2 linked regions of the Oreochromis niloticus genome follow. The protein of the gene in region 1 interacts with the protein of each later gene in a pairwise test. Links are inferred from orthologs where the notes say so. Each region holds a gene or a part of one and is shown in the gene's direction. Other genes may lie near its edges.

Region 1 (3,753 bases):
TTTATTTATTCACTCCACATAAAATGTCAAAAATTAATTATAAAATACAAAAACCAACTATTTACATTTCAACTTTTAACAATTTACATTTTCAGCTTTTTCCTTTTAAACAAATTTAAAGTGAAACAAAACAAAACACTGCAAACCACAACACAATTAAATATAAATTAAAATATGAAAACAAAAAGAAGATGCACATTCTCTGTCATATGGGGCTGCATGAATAAACTTTCTGAATCCTTCATCATCTGCCACTGAAAATAGTTGTGGATGATTACTATACCTTTCTAATGTGACGTTGTTGTCCCTGGCTCTCTTTCTCTGTCTCTCCCTCCCGCTCTGTTCCTGTGCAACTGCGAGTGTAACTACCGCCCCTCCCCCCTCTGCTCAGCGCAAGCACAAGGCTCGCGTGCGGAGAGAAGCGGAAAAAAGTGCGAGAGAGAGGGTGAGAGAAAGAAAAGAAAAAAACACGGCTCCCAATAAGGAGCCGGCTCGCGTCGTTCACTTCAAAGAGTCGGCTCTAAGAGCCGTTTCGTTCGCGACCGACACATCACTACATCGCGCACTTATTTGAATGACGGAAGGAGCATATTTTCTGTATGAGATGACTGAAAATGAGCAAAGTGTACATCAACAGCTGGTAACTTGTACTAAAATTATCGGTACCAGCCTTCTTTGTTCACTACATTAATATTTGCTAAGCTAACGTTCAGGGCCAACGCTAACTTGTTAGCTACTAGTGCTGCTAACACTGCCTGTGCCTGTTTGCTTGATTAGGATTATATTTTTAACTGGACGTTTATTTATCGACTTTTTACAGGAAGTACTTACAGTAAGGACTTAATTTAACCACTTTAGGAAGTCTAAGGTGAATGAATGTGGTTTGGCTGATTAAAGAATACATTAAACGAAGATTACCAAGTTGTGTTGAGACGCCAAAAGAAGAGCTGTTCACTGAAGCCCTTTGGACACTTGTTGATTTCTTTCTGTAGACTGAACCGATGAAACAGGTAAGCTACGTATTAAAACAGCATGATTAAGGTGATCCGAGGCTGCAGGGTTGTTGGGTCGCCTTTCATACACTGCTTAGCTTCAGCGACCACTCTCAGATACACGAGCTGCATTGTTAGTGAAAGCTGGGTTTACGTTGAGTGGGACGTTTTTACGCGTGGATATGGACGTCAGGACTACTTATGCTTTACAGTCAAGAAATCAAACATATGTTTATCTGTGGAGCTACAAGCAGTTTCAGGTAGAGCTGTATTTCTGTTAACTGGAAAGTGTTGAACTCCGCTGTCAGTGATGGTTTGTGTGTGTTGCAGCAGGAACAAGTGGAGTGGGATGACGTGAACAAACGTTTACAACATCATGGTTTTAAACCGGTGTTTTTTGCAGATCCCGCCGAGAATAAGAGTCCTGCAGGTAAGAATAAAAGTACGAGTATAAGATAGACTTTATCAAAGGTCACGTGTTACGGTGGTCGAAAGTGAACAATCGTATGAGGCTGAAAACTGTAATAACTACAAATGGAAACAAAAAACAGAATTTAAAACGGCTTACTCAGCTGACTAAAGACAGGATGTATAAAGTGGCTCAACAATATAAAGTGTAGCTGATCAATGCTGTTCAGTAAATTAAGTTACTGTGTTAAATGTCAACAGATTTAATTTACATGCAACTTTAAATGAAAAGAATGATTTAAATGGTCTTTTTGTTGTTTACTTCTCTATAAATTCTACCTTGATTTTTAAGCAAAAATGTTTGGCTTTAAGAGGCTAGTCAGTGTGATTTGATAAGTAATGTATACGGCTGTCTGTGTGTTTGTAGATTTGGTCCTTCTGGACAAGAAGTCAGCTGCTGAGCTGAGGACAACTCTGAGGATGATGCTCACAGACTCCGAGAGAAGGCAGGCCCTGATCCAAGAGCTTGTTATGTCCAACAACCAGCTCAAGTAAGTTCGGCACTGTGTAAGAAAAATTCTAAGTGATAATGTGATGTTATTTAGTGATGTTTTCAGTGCAACATGTTTGCAACTATCTGTTTAAACATGGAAACTGTAAATAGCCCCCCCCCCGGACATTATTGCAGTCACACACAAATGTCATCTTACCGGACTGAACCTCAGACTGTCCTGTAACGTGGGTAGGAGAGCTGGGGTCTGTTTCAGTGACACATGCTGGATATTAATAATGTATATGCAGTGTTGTGTAGACCACCTGTCCTGCTGTCATTTAACCTCTCCAACATCAGATGAGTATCAGGAACACACATGTCTTGATCCTCACAGACCAGTACAGGCATGAAATGTGAGACTGGGTGGCACACTGCTGAGATGGAGTATGTATGCTCACCAAGTGTCAGGCAGTTTCTGTTGGTGCTTGGCTTTTCTCCAACAGTTCAGCTCTATTCAATTCAGTTTTATGTTTATAGGGCCAAATGATAACAGTTTCCTCAAGACGCTTTATATTGTCAGGTAAAGACCCCAAATTAAAACAGAGAAACCCAACAATCATATGACCCCCTATGAGCAAGTGCTTGGCGACAGCGGGAAGGAAAAACTCCCTTTTAACAGGAAGAAACCTCCTGCAGAACCAGGCTCAGGGAGGGGCGGGGCCATCTGCTGTGATTGGTTGGGGTGAGAGAAGAAAACAGGATAAAGACATGCTGTGGAAGAGAGACAGAGATTAATAACAGATATGATTCAGTGCAGCGAGGTCTATAGAAGAAAGCAGTCCTACATATTTGTTTAATATGAAGGACATATCCTGGTCAAAAATGACTCCAAGGTTCCTCACAGTGTTATTAGATGACATGGTAATGCCATCCAGAGTAAGAGTCTGGCACATTCCTCTTGGTACACATGCTCTTCTTTCCTCACCCTTTGAGATTTTAACTTGTTGATTCTGTTTTAAGAATTTTACGTAGAAGATTGAAGTTATGTTGCAATAAAGTATTCGGTGAGCCTTTCAGGACCTTCAGGACTACACAAACTGCAGTCAGCAGGTGCAGAGATGCTTTGCTTTGTGTGTTGTTAGAATGGAGGTTCAGGAGCACATGAGCCGAGCAGCTCAGCAGTCTCAGAGGGTCACAGAGCTGGAGGAACTGTTGGAGAAGGTGAAGACCAGAGTCCAGGATCTGGAGGACCGCTACCTTAGCAAGGCAGTCCAGCAGCACAGCCACACACAGCAACTGCAGAAGGAAAAACTGGAAGCACATGTGAGTCATTCAGTTTTTTATTTCACACTCCTTTAAATTTCACATTAACAAAAGGGCATTTACAAAGAGTCAAAACAAACGGAACAAGCACTCAAAGCCACAGTTACTTCTTTGTATTCTTTTTCTTTCAAGCTCCAACTCAGCACCAAGTTCATTAAATTTCCTTTGGAAGACTTAGTCATAATCATGCTGAACAGCTCTGTGCATGTAAAACACTGAACAAACACTATAATTCATATAAGCAGACGTCTCCAGGTGTCTGCTGAAGTTTACATGATGTGAACATATTATCTGTAATGAACAAAGATATTCCCGAGTCCCCAACGTTAACATTGAACCTTGAGCTGTTTCCCTAACATTTAACAGGCTACCCTGATCTCTTTAAGATGAATTTAGGTGTTTATTTTCATCAACTGTATGTTTTCTTATAGAGCACACATTTAAACATTAATGTTTCATGTTTCAATGGTTTGCATTTTCTGTGTACTGGTAAAAGAAAAACCTTCTGCATACTTTCAGAGACGGTGTGAGGTTCTA
Region 2 (3,753 bases), on another chromosome or scaffold:
AACATTCAGCTGAAGACTCATTCCACGCACTTATATAAAAACAACTTAAGGTGCAATATGGACATTATGGACCATGCTGAGCATCCTCTGCATCCTCTGCACACGGCCATAAACAACCAGAGGAGTCTGTTCAGTGAGAGGTTGCTTCTCCCAGAGTCAATGACCAGCAGATTTAAAAAGTCCTTTGTCCCACACGCCATCAAACTGTCTAACTCCTGGCTGGAGGGGAGCAACAGTTTTTGTTAATATCCAACGGTGTAATAGACTCACGATACTTGAAATGTGCCGTTCCCTTGTATTCTTATTCCTATTTATTCTATTTATCCCTTTTGTATTCTCTGTATTTATATATGTCTTTGTATTTATATGTGTGTATATATGGTATATTTCTGCTCACATTCTGCAACTTCTGTCGGTGCTGTGCAACTGGAAACTGAATTTCCCGGAGGAACCGACCCGAGGGATAAATAAAGTTTCATCTAATCTAGTGTACTACCACTCCGCTGTGATATAACGAGCGGTCACGGTCACGTGACTTTCCGTTGCCCTGGAGGTCCACCCATTTGTAGTTAGAGCAACAGAAGATCCCTGAGACAGTTCAGCCATAACTTTAAACTTCTCCTGCTCATACATGCTTGGAACGATCTTGTCACTGAAGTGGACGCGCAACGGGATATCATAGCGTGGCTCAAGCACGTTCATCACAGTTTAAACCCCTTGTTTTGCACAACGGAATACGGCCTCCCGTCTGCAGCTAAACACCCCAGTAGCTTTTGCAATAGCTTTAGCCCGGTCGGATTGGGCAGCAAAGGGCTGCTTAAATGCCGCAAACTCCTCTGCTCCGCCACTTGGACCGCTAGCGCTGGCCATAACTACCGCTTGACAGACTGACCACGCGCACCATACACATATTTATTTTTTTCTTTTTCGAATCTTCGGATCACGTGCGTGCCGAACCGTGGCGTGGGATCGGTTCGGATTTCAGATCAACCGTGATCCGTTGCACCACTAGTCATTAGGCTTCACTTTTAAACAGTAAGTTAAATGGTTTCCTGATTCTCACATGGACTTGGTTTACAGGAGAGCAAACAGTTCCTGATCAAGCAGACTGAGAGCCCGAGTCGGCAAGCTCACATACCGACACATCATGCAGGAGTACAAGACTGAACACGACATATGGGCAAGGATTTACTGTCTTGAAAACAACATAATAAGACTTGTTTTTATGTTTATAATTTAATGCAGGCTAGGTTTTACCACACACGTCTGCACGAAGATAATTGTATTAAAAGTTGTGATTTTTTTTTAAAGGAATACATAAAGAAGGAGAATTAAAACTTGATCGTTATTAGAGTATAGCATTTCCACTATGTAAATAGATTAGTGCCTTTTATGTCTGTCCTTCAAAGCAGATATTTTTTTCTTTACATAATAAAATAAAATGAGAAACATAACAGCCCCCTCTGCTGTCGCCATTGTGTTATTGCTTCAACATGGAGCTACTGTTTACTTCCTGTTTGGGTCTGCCTGTTCCTATGAGCTCCTGCTACCTGTCCAACAAGAGAAATTCTTCACTCAGCAAGTTGGTGACAACGCCTGGGCCCTGTTTTAGAAAGTAAAATGTTAAAAACATTGCTAAATTTGTGGAAATGTGATATCTCTGCGTGGTGCTGAGTCCTTAAGGTAAAGTAGAGGTGGAAAGTAGAAAACATCGGCTAACATTAGCTCGTTAGCTCTGCCTCTCGGGAGGTCAAAGCTGCAAATATAAAGTTTGTTTTTGTATATTTATATACGTTTCCGCTTTGGGACATTGACGCACTTAGTTCCACAACTAGCGGTTTTACTTTGGGGAACTTATTCACGTTTTCCTTCCACTTTTGCCGCTGCTAGCCGACTGCTAACCTACAGTAGTAACAGTCGCCAAGGGAACAATGAACATCCTTCCGAAGAAGAGCTGGCATGTCCGCAACAAAGACAACGTCGCTCGAGTGCGGAGGGACGAGGCCCAGGCAGCAGAGGAGGAGCGCGAGGCCAAGCGTCGCGTGGAGCGCGCGGAGCAAGAGGTGACTCCGGATGGATGACCGTGGCGTGCTGTTACTGTACCCTACCTGGTGCTCTGTTTCCCCTTGTAGTCTGAGCAGGATACCTCAAATTTAAACCAGATATGATCAGAAGCAAGGTTACTAACTTGAACAACTTAAAAAAACGTACTCATTTATAATAACAGTGTGCAGTAAATGTCCTTTTTCAGTAGAGCCTACCTGAGACGCTCTTAGTCCAACCCTAGTTACAAAAAAGTTAGAATACTGTGTAAAGTGTAGCTTTTTAAGTCAAGTAAACCTAAACCTAAATGTACCTTGAAGCACTGATGGTACCTTTCCAGATGTGCAAGCTTCCAGTTCCATAGGCACTAATGCACAAGTTGTACCTTGAGAAACAGTTTTCTACTGTGCGTCAGTCCATTTTGAATAGGCTTTGGCCCAGAGAAGGCAGCGTTTTTACTGCACTGCTGCCTGTGATGCCAAAAATCACAGGCATCTAGTATTGGTATTCAAAGTCTTTGTAATTTTACATTGAATAGCTTTATGCTGAAATTGGTACACAACTTGTAGACACAGTTTTTGCATACCCAATAATGTTACTGAGCGGTTGGCAGTTAATTTTGCAAAAATTACTGCAAAATATTCCTCTAGCTGTTTCCTTTTAGTTAAGCTTACTTTTCCAGCCTTTTGTTACCACTGTCCCAACTTTTTGAGATTTGTTGCTGCCAACAAAATCACTTAAAACATTGGTTATGTTTTCAGTTGTGATTAAGAATTTCATAATACAAATTAATGCATTCTCTTTTTAATTTACATTTTATACAATAAATAAATATCTAGAATATTAAAGCTTTTTTATAGCGGGATGCAAAAATAAATATATTAAAAAGGCAGACTTTTTTTTTTAAATCAAATGTATTACAGAAAAGTTACCCCAAAAAGTAATGTCAGTACTGTACATTAAAGTAAAGTAAAGTAAAGTAAAGTAAAGGACAGGAAACGTGAGATGACATTGAAGTAGCTCAGTATCACAGGGTGTAAAATGTAGCGGGCCGGAATAAAATGTTATCATGCGAGAACAGATTGTTCTTTGCTACACTTATGTATTGCATTGCAGAGATTATTAGGGTTTTACTGTATTTAAAGAAGCTTTGAGCCCATCAGTGAAGGTTTTTTGTCATCCACTGTGACTAAAAAATATTTTTAACCATTTCATTTAACTTACTAAAGCTTAAAATACATTTTTGTTGATCAAATAGACAAGATGTATTGGAAAACATATAGAACTTTGATACGTAACGTAACCCAGATGTCCAGAACCCCTTAAAAGGCCCACACTGATACAGGAAACACCCTGTTTTTATGAAACAACAGAGTGAAAGCAGACTAAATATTAGCAACCACTTATGCATTATGATAGGTAGAGTATATGAGCATCAGATACTGTCCTTGTTGACTGCTGATTAGCATTGTTACTCTGATGTGTCAGCTAACTTTTGTGCTGACTTAATGTTCAAACAGTGTAGTGATCTTTTCTTTATTTCACCTGCAAAAAAAGGTGGATAGTTAATGGTAAAAATATGTAATATACTAATTACAAAAAAACAAAACAAGTTGTTATTATAAACATCAGTTTTGGTCCAGAGTTTTGCAGTCACTGCATCCCTAATAGATCTCTCACTAGAATCCAGAACAAAATCACTTCAAACCA

Evidence for each region.
Region 2: the proteins of cep70 (region 1) and leng1 interact in binary tests that used the Homo sapiens proteins (3 or more experiments, as listed by UniProt). The two-hybrid records come from large-scale screens. The link is inferred for Oreochromis niloticus from reciprocal best matches to the Homo sapiens genes CEP70 and LENG1.

The regions. Positions count from the first base shown.
Region 1 is NC_031986.2:2,894,825-2,898,577, forward strand, and holds the start of cep70 (centrosomal protein of 70 kDa), read left to right. Parts: upstream 1-1,123; 5' UTR 1,124-1,174; coding exon 1,175-1,252; intron 1,253-1,322; coding exon 1,323-1,422; intron 1,423-1,827; coding exon 1,828-1,951; intron 1,952-3,035; coding exon 3,036-3,216; intron 3,217-3,735; coding exon 3,736-3,753.
Region 2 is NC_031976.2:22,043,119-22,046,871, reverse strand, and holds the start of leng1 (leukocyte receptor cluster member 1), read left to right. Parts: upstream 1-1,465; 5' UTR 1,466-1,582; exon of another isoform or gene 1,583-1,683; intron 1,684-1,890; 5' UTR 1,891-1,931; coding exon 1,932-2,063; intron 2,064-3,753.